3 linked regions of the Astyanax mexicanus genome follow. The protein of the gene in region 2 interacts with the protein of the main gene of each other region in a pairwise test. Links are inferred from orthologs where the notes say so. Each region holds a gene or a part of one and is shown on either strand. Other genes may lie near its edges.

Region 1 (3,761 bases), on a different chromosome or scaffold from region 2:
ACACCATTATTAGGTAGCGAGCACGACTGCCTTTGTGTTCACACACAACTAATTAATTAGATCTTTAAATTCATTCAATCATTCACCACACACTAAAACACAATGGGAGCAGCATAAAACAAACAAAAAAAAAATCACAAAACATCTGCGTTATTGTGTGGTTTTCAAAAACCCAGCTGTTTTTAGAAGACCACAACACAACATTTTAACATTATATAAGTAATTTCAAGATCTAATAAAGGTTTAAACTTGGTGTAGCTAGATTTTGTTTTTATCTAATAAAGGTTTAAACCTGGTGTAGCTAGATTTTGTTTTTTATTAAACTTAAAGAAAATGTTAGGTATAAGGTCAGCATAAGGCATCAGCATTATAATTTTAAAGCCAAAATACATCCTCTTTACATATAGGGAGCAGAATGATTTCTTAAACCTGATAAATAGGATTGTCTCTGTTCACAGAATGAATTAATCCGATATTTAAATCAAATTAATTCATTTACCACATATACTAAAATACAATGAGCAGCAGCCAACATCTGAATTAAAATGAATCCATCCATTCATCTACTTACTGGGGAAAAGGTAGGATTGTTCCTGTGTTCACTCAACTAAATTAAACAGAATTTTAAATCGAATTCATTCATTTACCACACATTGAGCACGATAAAATACAATACAATGTGTGCAACACAGCAGCATTACCGTTTAAAAAAATCATCTTCAAATAGGGAGCAGAATGACCTTTTAAAACTGTTTTTAAAAAACAGTATTTCGTATTTGTTCACACAACTAATTAATCAGATCTTTAAATCGAATTCATTCATTTAACGTTGCTACACATTAAAATACAATGAGAGCAGCATAAAACAGCACAAAACATCTGCAGTATTGTGTTTTTCAAAAGCCCAGTCGTTTTTAGCAGACCACGAAGCGATATTTTGACATTAGAGAAGTATTTTCAAGGTCTAATAGACGTTTAAACTCAATGTGATTGTAGATTTTGGTATTTATTACACCTAAAGAAAACGTCTGAGGAGAAAAAAAACGGTAACGTTATGCTAACGGCTAAATTGGCTAAATTCGCTTTGCAGCGTTTTGTGTGTGTTATATTCAGATCCTCTCACACATTTAACCACTTGAGTTAATACTTAATTCATTTTTTCACAGGATAATAAGTCGAAAATGCCGAATTTTAGCGAATTATATCAAATTTAAACGTATTTAACAAGTTAGCTTAGCATAGCTTTAAAGGTAAACATCTCTAACCTTAGGTTAGCTTAGCATAGGCGGATTTTTCCGCTTTGGTTTGGCGTTTAAGATTCTAGTCGAAATAAAGCTGTAATATGGTCAAATGTGGTTTTTAAAAGGTGTTAAAAGTGCGTCTAAATATGAATAACAGCTAAAATGGGTGTATTCGTTTAGGAAATGTGTATAAATAGCTGTAAGTAGGTGATTCAGGTCCAGAAAATAGAAATCCGTCGATCTAGATCCAGAAGGTAAAAATCCAGCTCCAGGATTTTGTTTCAACTGCCTGGGCGGTTGTGCTGCTGCTCGGCTGCTGCACAGGCGCCCAGGCAAATGAAACTAAATCCTGGAGCTGGATTTTTACTTTCTGGATCTGGATCGGAACAGATCTCTATATTGAAGCAGGTTAAAGCATTTAGAAGGAATTGTAAAGCTTAGAAACGCAGGACATTGTTTTTTTACAGGCTAAAAACGGGTATCAAAGCATGTAATACTAATTTATGTTAAAAATGTGCCATTATTGTAATAAGTCAAAAAATTAAATAAAATAATAACTAGGGATGAGATGAGCTCAGCCTGCAGACCTTAGGTTATAACATATATGCTATAACACTGAATTTCACACCGAAATTTGTACACCTATATAACTTAATAGATTCATTTCTCTAGTGCTGTAAATCTGTGCACACTCATAATACGTGTGTTAAACCCGTAGAAACGTGAATAACCCGCAGCCTCTCTCAGCTACAGGGGCGCATAAAGAAGCAGTGGAGATTAAAAATGGCTGCAGCGCCAGAACAAAGCCACAGTCCGAGTCAAGGGGGGCAGCGGAGATTCAGATTAAAAATAAAGGCACTATTTTCGCCCGGACCGCGCCGATAACTCACCGATTCAACGGGGAAACTCTTGTGTGTGCCCGATGGTGCGGATTTAGTCCACCTGCGCGCGGAATCTGGAAGGATGGATGGAGATTCTGCGGCCGATTCTGTGTTTCTTTAATCTGCTCGCCGTTTACTTGTGTTGCCACACACGGCCTGCTGTCGGATATGACGTTGGGGCGAGAGTGTGTGTCAAACTGCGACCGCTACAGGCGCGTCCTGGTATTACACACGCAGTGATTTATATTACATTTTGTAGTGTTTTCTGTTTTTTTTGGGTGGATGGATGGATGGATGGATGGATAGATAGAGATGTATGGATAGATGGATGGATAGGGATGTTTTGACTCCACAAACCCTCTGATGGTGGGTTGAGCTGGGTTTGATTACATTGCTTTGGGATGAGTTGAGCTGTGTTGAGTTGGGTTTGTTGTGTTGAGGTTGGTTTGGGTTGGGTTGGGTTTTTTTTGGGTTGTTTTTCATTGGGCTGTGTTGAGTTGGTGTTTTTTTAGGGGGTTAGTTTAATTGTTTTTTTTGTTGCGTTGGTTTTAGCTGGGTTTGTTGTGTTCAGTTGGGTTTGTTGTGTTGAGTTGGATTTTATTGTGTTTGGTTTGGGTTAAGTTGAGCTGTGTTGAGTTGGGTTTGATTGTGTTTGGTTTGGGTTAAGTTGAACTGTGTTGAGTTGGGTTTGATTGTGTTAGTTTGGGTTGAGTTGTGTCTGTTCGCATTGGTTTGGGTTGAGTTGAGCTGTTTTGAGTTGGGTTTGATTCCATTGGTTTGGGTTGAGTTGAGCTGTGTTAAATTGGGTTTGATTGGGATTGGGTTTGGTTGTGTTGGTTTGGGTTGAGTTGGGTTGAGTTGAGTATCTGCTCTATAGAGTCGTATTCTAATTAAAATAGAATAAAAACACTGCTTGATGTACTGAAATACATGACCGACTAGATGCCATAGATGCTTGTAAAAGCCGGGAACTACATGTGTTAGCTTTAATGCTCCACTAGGTGGCACCATTGGCAAGCTATGGTGTTTTTTAATCTTGTGCACAAATCCAGCACTATGGTTTCTAATAAAGTGGCCGGTGAGAGTCTGTAAAATAATAATAAATATTATACAGTAAATTAAACAACCTATGTATTAAATATGAATTATATTTATATGTCATGTTAATAATTTGCTATGATGCAGCAGAATGGATCATCTGCAATAAATCAGTCTGTATGATATTAAAATGATAATTTCTTTATATAATGAATCCTGTCTGCTGCAGATCCTGAGTGAATGGAGTGATGAAGAGGAGGTGAAGAGGATAGAGGGATGAGTGGTCCTCAGGAAAGGGCTGGTTCTGATGGAGAGAGAAGAGAAACTCTGCTGGACTCCACTAAACAAAATATATTTACTGAATAATGAGCTAAACATGTGTTTCTAACACACTCACTGGCCACTTTATTGGAAACATCTACTATATTACCTTGTGCTTCCACTCACTGTGGCCACTTTATTGAAAACACCTACTACTATACTACCTTGTACTTCCACTCACTGATGGCCACTTTATTGGAAACACCTGCTATACTACCTTATGTGTCCACTTACTGTGGCCACTTTATTAGAAACACCTACTATACTACCTTGTGCTTTT
Region 2 (3,761 bases):
AAGTATTTTACCTTTTTGTGATATGTAGCCGCTAACTAGCTAGTAAACTAATACACATAATCTTGCAATAAGCAAGCTAACTGGCTTGTAATAAAGCTAAGCTAAACTAACTTAGAGATACCCATTTGCTTGTTTTGTGATTATCAACATATTAGTTAGATAACCTAAACGATTTTGGCAAGATTTAAGTTTCTTTGTTACTGATCAGGCTAATGAAATGTAGCTAGTGAAGTATTGCTTATTTTGGGAACACATACTGTCTGGTTATTTGGTTGGATAATTAGCTAAGCTAACTAACTAAGCTAGTTTAATTAACATATTATATTTCACAGTTCTTACAATGTCCAAGTTTTACAGTTAAAACCTAGTTAGCAAACTACACACAGCTCTAGGGGGAAAAAAGACCACTTTAGTTTCTGAATCAGTTTATCTGATTTTGCTATTTATAGGTATATCTTTGAGTAAAATGAACATTGTTGTTTTATACTATAAACTATGGACAACATTTCTTCCAAATAACAATATTGTCATTTGGAGCATAATAACAATATTGTCATTAAGAGCATTTATTTGTAGGAAATGAGAAATGGCTGAAATAACAAAAAAGAGGCAGAACTTAGACCTCAAATAATGCAGAGAAAACAAGTTCATATTTATAAATCGCTAAGAGCTCAGAAAAAAATATTTAGTGAAATAACTCTGGTTTTTAATCACAGTTTTCATGCATCTTGGCATGTTCTCCTCCACCAGTCTCACTGCTTTTGGATAACTTTATGCCACTCCTGGTGCAAAAATTCAAGCAGTTCAGCTTGGTTTGATTGCTTGTGATAATCCATCTTCCTCTTGATTATATTCCAGAGAAACTCATCATTTTTAAGTGGTCTCTTATTTCTTTCCAGAGCTGTATATGCAAGATATATGCATAGCTGTATATGCATAGATATATGTATAGCTGTATATGCATAGATATGTGTATCATTATATCAAACAAGCTAGGTAACACAGCCCTCTTTAAAACAAAAAAATGTGTATGTATTTTAAGATGTGTAACTATGTATTAATCTAACCAGCTAGCTTATTTTCATGTAGTTAGAAGTACTATTAATATAAGCTAATTGTATTGTGAAACGCATTATTATAGCTATGCATTATATGTTGTGTTCTAGCTAGCTATATTTGTTGTCAATTTAAAAAAAGCTTGGTAGCTTGTTAGACAATTTTGGCAAGATTCAAGTGCCTTTGTTACTGATGAGGCTGATGAACAGTAGTGAAGTATTGCTTATTTTGGGAACAAATATTGTCTGGTTATTTGGTTGGTAAATGACAGATACACATAACGTAACCTACATAATCAACAGCTATAATAGCTAACTAAGCTAAGTTAGTTAGGTTAACTAACTACATTTCATACTTCTCACAATGTCTAAGTTTTATAGTTATAATCTAGTTAGCTACCTACACACATGTAGGTTACTTGTTGTCTCTGAAAAATGTAACTATAGATAACTAAACAAAAAGCTATATGTGCATTTTAAAGGTGTTTAACTATGTACTTAGCTAGTTAGTTTATATTCATGTAGTTTGCTAGCGGTATTATTGATATAAGCTAATTGTATTTTGTACACAATCATTATAGCTATGTATTTGATATTATATAAAATATAAATCTATATAAAATATATAACCTTTAGTTGGTTAGCTACATTTCATACGTTTTACAATGTCCAAGTTTTGTAATTACAACATAGTTAACTTAGCTAACTACATAGATGTAGATTACACTGTCAGATAAAATACCACTTTTTGTTGTCTTTGAAAAATATAACTATATATATATTTATCATCATATTAAAAAGCTGTGTGTATTTTTATGTGAAATATGTACGTTAAGTTACCTAGCTAAATAGCTGGTTAGCTTATATTCATGTAGTTAGCTATCAGTATTGTTAATATAAGCTAACTGTGTTGTGCACACCATTATTATTGCTATCCATTTGATATCGTGTACTTTCTGAGCTAGCTATGTTTGTTTGTTGTCAATTTAAAAAAGCTAAAGTTAGCTAGCTTCGCCATCTAGCTGTTAGGTTAGTTATATTTCCAGGATTTTCTTCTGTAGTAGCTAGCTAGTTAGCTAACAGTCTGTAGTAGCTAATGTTAGCTAGTTAGCTCTATTAGCAACAGCGGGCTGGACGCGCAGCGCCCGTTTCTATCAGCTCAAGCCGAGCGAGGCCTCAGCTGCGTTTCGAGCCGGGAAGCGGCCGCGTCTAATCACACGTTCCCCCGGCAGACGGAGCAGCAGTGCGGCCTACCTGAGGGTCAATACTGGTGGTAGACATAATTCATCAACAAAGCCCCTGTAATCGCCAAGAGTCTAAAAAACGGTCGGCTTGTTCAGCGAATCTCCAAACACCGTGTTTCCTCCCTCGGTCTCTCCTGCAGGCTCAGGCTGCCGCCGCTGCTGCTGCTGTTTTCTCCTCACGGCGCGATTCCTCAGCAACTTCCACGGCCAGATTACACCGATCACGGTACGGAGATACACCACGATCCGGGCCGCGCGCGCTACTGCGCTTATTACAAGGTCCAGCGTCTCGGGTTTAGTCCGGTTCCGATGCGCGGCGAGGCTCTTTAGGAGGTTTTTCCTACTCCTCGCAGCCTTCAGTTTATTGTGCAGCCCAGTTCACTTCCCCCCTGCTCCATCCGGGATCTGCGCTCAGCGGACTGACGTCACGGGGACCGGGTGGCCACGCGGCCTGTCTGTCTGCTTTCCTGGACTTGACCCTGTGCAGCTCGTTTAACTTAGTAATAATACTAATAATTCAAATATTATCAATGATTTATTAACCCTTTCAGACCTGAATTTATGTCCCAGTTATGGAAAAATATATGAAGGCCGTTTTCCTTCTGTAATGCACACAACATTTCTAATATTAGGCAAAGCAAGACAAGTTTATTTTATAAAGCACCGGCCATTCAAAGTGCTTTACAAATTAAAAAATACTAAGAGATATAACATATAAGAGAATAATAACAAATATAAATACCCTAACATTACATCTATGTTAAAATAAATCCAATTAACTTACCTTTTTAATTCTAAACATGATAAAACATGATTTTTTGCCTTATTTCTTCTGTAGTGCTGAAAAGCCCCAATGTCTGAGTTGCTGATTTTTTTCTAGTGCAGTGGGCGGGGCTAAGCTATTGTTTTATTGTCTGGTTTATGATCTTATGGACGACAGGTCTGGATTAGTGTTCTGTGCAACAAAACATTTGAAAAAAGAAACTACATGATGTTCAAATGTTACTTACAAATTACGAAATTATGAAAAAATTGGACACACCTCTTCTATAAGACTGCTTTGTGACAACATCAGTTGTAAAAAGCGCTATGCAAATACATTTGATTTGATTCTCAGTTAATGTGTTTTTTTTCCTTTTCTTTTTTTACATTGTACATTTAATATTGAAGATATTAAAGCAACTAGGAAGACATACAGAATTATTATGTAAACAAAAAGCGTTAAACAAACCAGAATTTGTTTTATACTTTACAGTCTATATATTCTTACCACATTTTAGTTTTAAGGACAAATCTGCACACACTCAATGCACGCTGAGTGTACGCATCTCAGTGTCTTCATGAGGTAGAGTCATCTGGAATAGTTTTCTCAGCGTCTTGAAGAAGCGTTCCTGGAAGTGCTGAACAATAGCTGCTGCTTTTCTTTTACTTTGTGAAGCTCCAGCTCATCCCAAATCACCAT
Region 3 (3,761 bases), on a different chromosome or scaffold from region 2:
ACCTCAATCTTCTGAGGCCAGAGCAATGTGACTGTTGCCCTCTATTAAAAAAATAAGAACAATGAGAAATTGGGTGAAATAGAATATATTTCTGTTTAAATAAAATAATGATTTCTATTTTTTTATGATACATTTTGTTCAGTGACTTTATGAATTGGCTGTGAAGATGAATACAAAAAAAAAAAAAAAATCACATTCTTCTTTCAAACACAATCAGAAACAAGCAAACTTGAAAAATAACTAAATAAATGTATCTGAGAAAAGATACAGACACAACAGATTTATTAAGGGTGCAGGCGTCTGTACAGGCAAATACTATTACTAACTAAATACTAACAAATATGTAAATCTCTTTTTGTATTTATTATGTATTAGAGATGTATAAACAACTATTTACAGCTTATAGAAAAAAGTAAGCAAGGATATTATTTTGTCAAATTATTCGAAGAATAACTGAAAACATACGTAAATGTGGTATATCATAATATTATATATCGTTATCGTAATATAAAAAAAAGTCTATATCGTGATATACATGATATATTTTCCCATATCGCCCAGCACTAGGCTGTATTGACCGTTCTGTATCTGAATGAAGTGTACTACAAATGTGTGTAAAAACATTCTTAGCATGAAGGCAGTATATAAACCAGGCACTGTACCTTAACCTCCCCATCAGTGCAGCTGTAGCGAATGAACTTCGCCATATCAGAGGACTTCAGTGATCTACTCAGCGTGGTGTGGAGCAGTTGCTTTGGTTTGGGGAACTCCAGCAGGAGATCAGACTGACCTGGGGATCAAAAAATCATAGAATTATTAGTGATGATCAATGTCTGTCATACTGTAGTGTACACATAAAGTGTTTTATACCTTCAATATACCAGTAGGCCCGTCATGCTAAGAATTTTTGCGGGCGATATATTGTCACAGAAATGATTGCGATACATATATTTTTGTAATTTTAAGATTATTAAATTCCACTAACATAATGATAACAGAAAAGCATAAAAAATAAATTATACACTTTTTAAGGGCAACAAAAAAAATCAATAATCATTTATTATAATTAGTTTGGGAATTATATACTTATTTCTTCACCTACTTTAGTCCACACTGTGTGTATGTTATGGAGTCACGGTTATTGAAGCATGACTGGCTAAAATACTGTTTACTGTAATATATGTGAACAAACATACAAAAAAAAAAAACACAACAGACGATATCATGATTATCAAAAATTATTGAGGTCATTTTAATTTATTGTACGATAAATCGATATTGCAATTATTGTGACAGGCCTATATACCAGGAGTGGTAGAAAGTTATCCAAAAGCAAGTAAATTCGGTAAAAAAGGCAAGTAATTCCGTTCGAAATGTGAAACTCATTATATATATATATATATATATATATATATATATATATATATATATATATATATATATATATATATATATATATATATTATATATATTAAACACAGAGTGATCCATTTTAAGTGTTTATTTCTTTTATTGTTGATGTTTATGGCTTACAGCCAATGAAAACCCAAGAATCATTATCTTAGACAATTAGAATATTATATTATAAGACCAATTGGTACTTTTGGCAGTGTGGGCAGTGGTGTGCCAAGTCCTGCTGGAAAATGAAATCCACATCCCCATAAAAGTTGTGGGAAAGTTTGTGGGAAAACAAAACTGCACTGACTTTAGACTTGATAATAAAACACAGTGGATCAACACCAGCAGATGACATGTTTTTCCAAAAAAATCAAGCAGATTGCTAAAACTATTAAAATTAGGTTAAAACTCTCAGCTGTCATTATTAAAAAAAATAGAACGACAGTGGGGGAACATGGTATTTTAGGAAGGAATGTGGTCGTAATTAAAAAAAAAAATCTGAAAGAAGGTGAACAACACTAAAACTCAAGTAAATGTTTAAAGGTGAAAGTAAGAGCTTTCCCCAAAGGGCACAATGCAGTAAAGGGAACTCAAGGGATTGGGATTAAATTGCTGTGTAGCCCTAAGAAAACCAGTTATCAATAATGCTAACAAGCAAAAAAACACAGCTTCAGTTCGCTAGGTCATGCCCATATATCATAGGATACGTTGGTAAAGTGATTATTATGAACGGTCTAGTAAACTGTTTTGGTGACACTTGGCTTGGTCAAGCTGATTAACCAGTAAGGTCAAACTTGGCCCTGCTAACCCAGTTGGTGGCCTAACCCTGTTGGTTATGCTTGCAGATTAAAAAGCTAAACCTTCTTAAAAGAACTTAAATAAACACATATCCTCTACTGATAACCCATTTTAATCAGTGTAATCAGTGTAAACTGTGGTGTAATGTAATGTTACTGGTGTGTATGACCCCAGTGTGTGTGTGTGTTGTAGTTCTGCAGGTCAGTTATGAAATGGTTAAGCTGGTACCTCCTTCTCCTCCTCCTGTGGAGCTCTCAGTCTCCGGATCTCCTCGTTCCCCTGCTCTGGTTCTGTATCTGCTCGCCCACCTCCAGCTCCAGCCGGACCCGGCCCGGCCCGCGGGCTCTCCCGTGCTGAGGGACAGTATCTTACACAGCCCGCGGACACGCATGATACCGGTACAGTGCGCCGCCATCTTTACCGATACACACGCGCAGGCGCACACGCGCACGAGCGCGCACGTTCAGCAGCAACACTACAGCAGCACTGCAGCCCCCTACCGGCCTGACTGATCAACTACAGCTCCAGCAGGCCAGACAGACAGACAGACAGACAGATAGGCAGACAGGCAGACAAATAAACAGACAAATAAACAGACAGACAGACAAATAAATAGACAGATAGGCAGACAAATAAACAGACAGACAGATAAATAGACAAATAGGCAGACAAATAAATAGACAGATAGGCAGACAAATAAACAGACAGACAGACAGACAGACAGACAGACAGACAGACAGACAGACGATAGATAGATAGAAAAAATACAACTCAATAACAAAAACAACTGCACATTACATACACTTCTGGTACATTTTTCAAAAACAAAAATGTGTCAAACCACTGATAATTTAACCCTCTAACACAGCAGGATTTTTGTCAACTGTCTGTCTGACATTTCACCACTAAATCTTGAGGGGTTTCTACTCAACCATTGCATAAAAAAGCTTTTATGTTTGATAAGAAACATTACAGAAAAGCCTAATTGTAATTGTAATAGAAAATTATATATATATATAAAAAAAGAATAAAATAATAAATTGTTTTTTCCTGAACTTTATTTTAGCTTAATATATTCCTGAATACAAACCAAACAGTTAATTTCCTACAAACCTTTAGTTACATTATGTGTGTCTAGTTTTTACGTCTATTTTCAAACATGCAGAATTTGGGTTGATTCCTGTTTCTTATCTGGAATTATTAATTTATTAAGTGGAGTAGAGAGAAAACAGGCAGCTTCTCAAAGTGTCCTGTAGGAGATTTCAAAGCCCTCAAATTTTCAGAATGTAAATAAGTTATTTTATATGGGACATTAAAGGCATTTCAAAGGGGTTAAAAGCTTTTCATTTTTTATTTGAATCCCGCTATTTCTTTTAATGATTTAAGCATCTCAAAATGATGACCCAAAATAATTAACTTAATAATGGGGAAAAAAAATAAACTGTGTTTATTTTAGGTGGCGGAAATGGGCTTCCACACAAATGCATGGCTGTGCCAGAAGAGGATACAGGTCCTGACATGTCCCAAGTAGAGAGTATTGTGAGAAAACATGTTTTAAAAAATAA

Evidence for each region.
Region 1: the proteins of ythdf1 (region 2) and prrc2b interact in a two-hybrid assay, tested with the Homo sapiens proteins (2 studies listed by BioGRID, with this or other methods). The link is inferred for Astyanax mexicanus from reciprocal best matches to the Homo sapiens genes YTHDF1 and PRRC2B.
Region 3: the proteins of ythdf1 (region 2) and dhx30 interact in a two-hybrid assay, tested with the Homo sapiens proteins (2 studies listed by BioGRID, with this or other methods). The link is inferred for Astyanax mexicanus from reciprocal best matches to the Homo sapiens genes YTHDF1 and DHX30.

What each region holds. Positions count from the first base shown.
Region 1 is NC_064408.1:3,655,795-3,659,555, forward strand, and holds the start of prrc2b (protein PRRC2B), read right to left. Parts: upstream 2,301-3,761; 5' UTR 2,132-2,300; intron 1-2,131.
Region 2 is NC_064419.1:39,808,130-39,811,890, reverse strand, and holds the start of ythdf1 (YTH domain-containing family protein 1), read right to left. Parts: upstream 2,704-3,761; 5' UTR 2,337-2,703; coding exon 2,310-2,336; intron 1-2,309.
Region 3 is NC_064415.1:9,717,703-9,721,463, reverse strand, and holds the start of dhx30 (ATP-dependent RNA helicase DHX30), read right to left. Parts: upstream 2,627-3,761; 5' UTR 2,612-2,626; coding exon 2,425-2,611; intron 791-2,424; coding exon 663-790; intron 42-662; coding exon 1-41.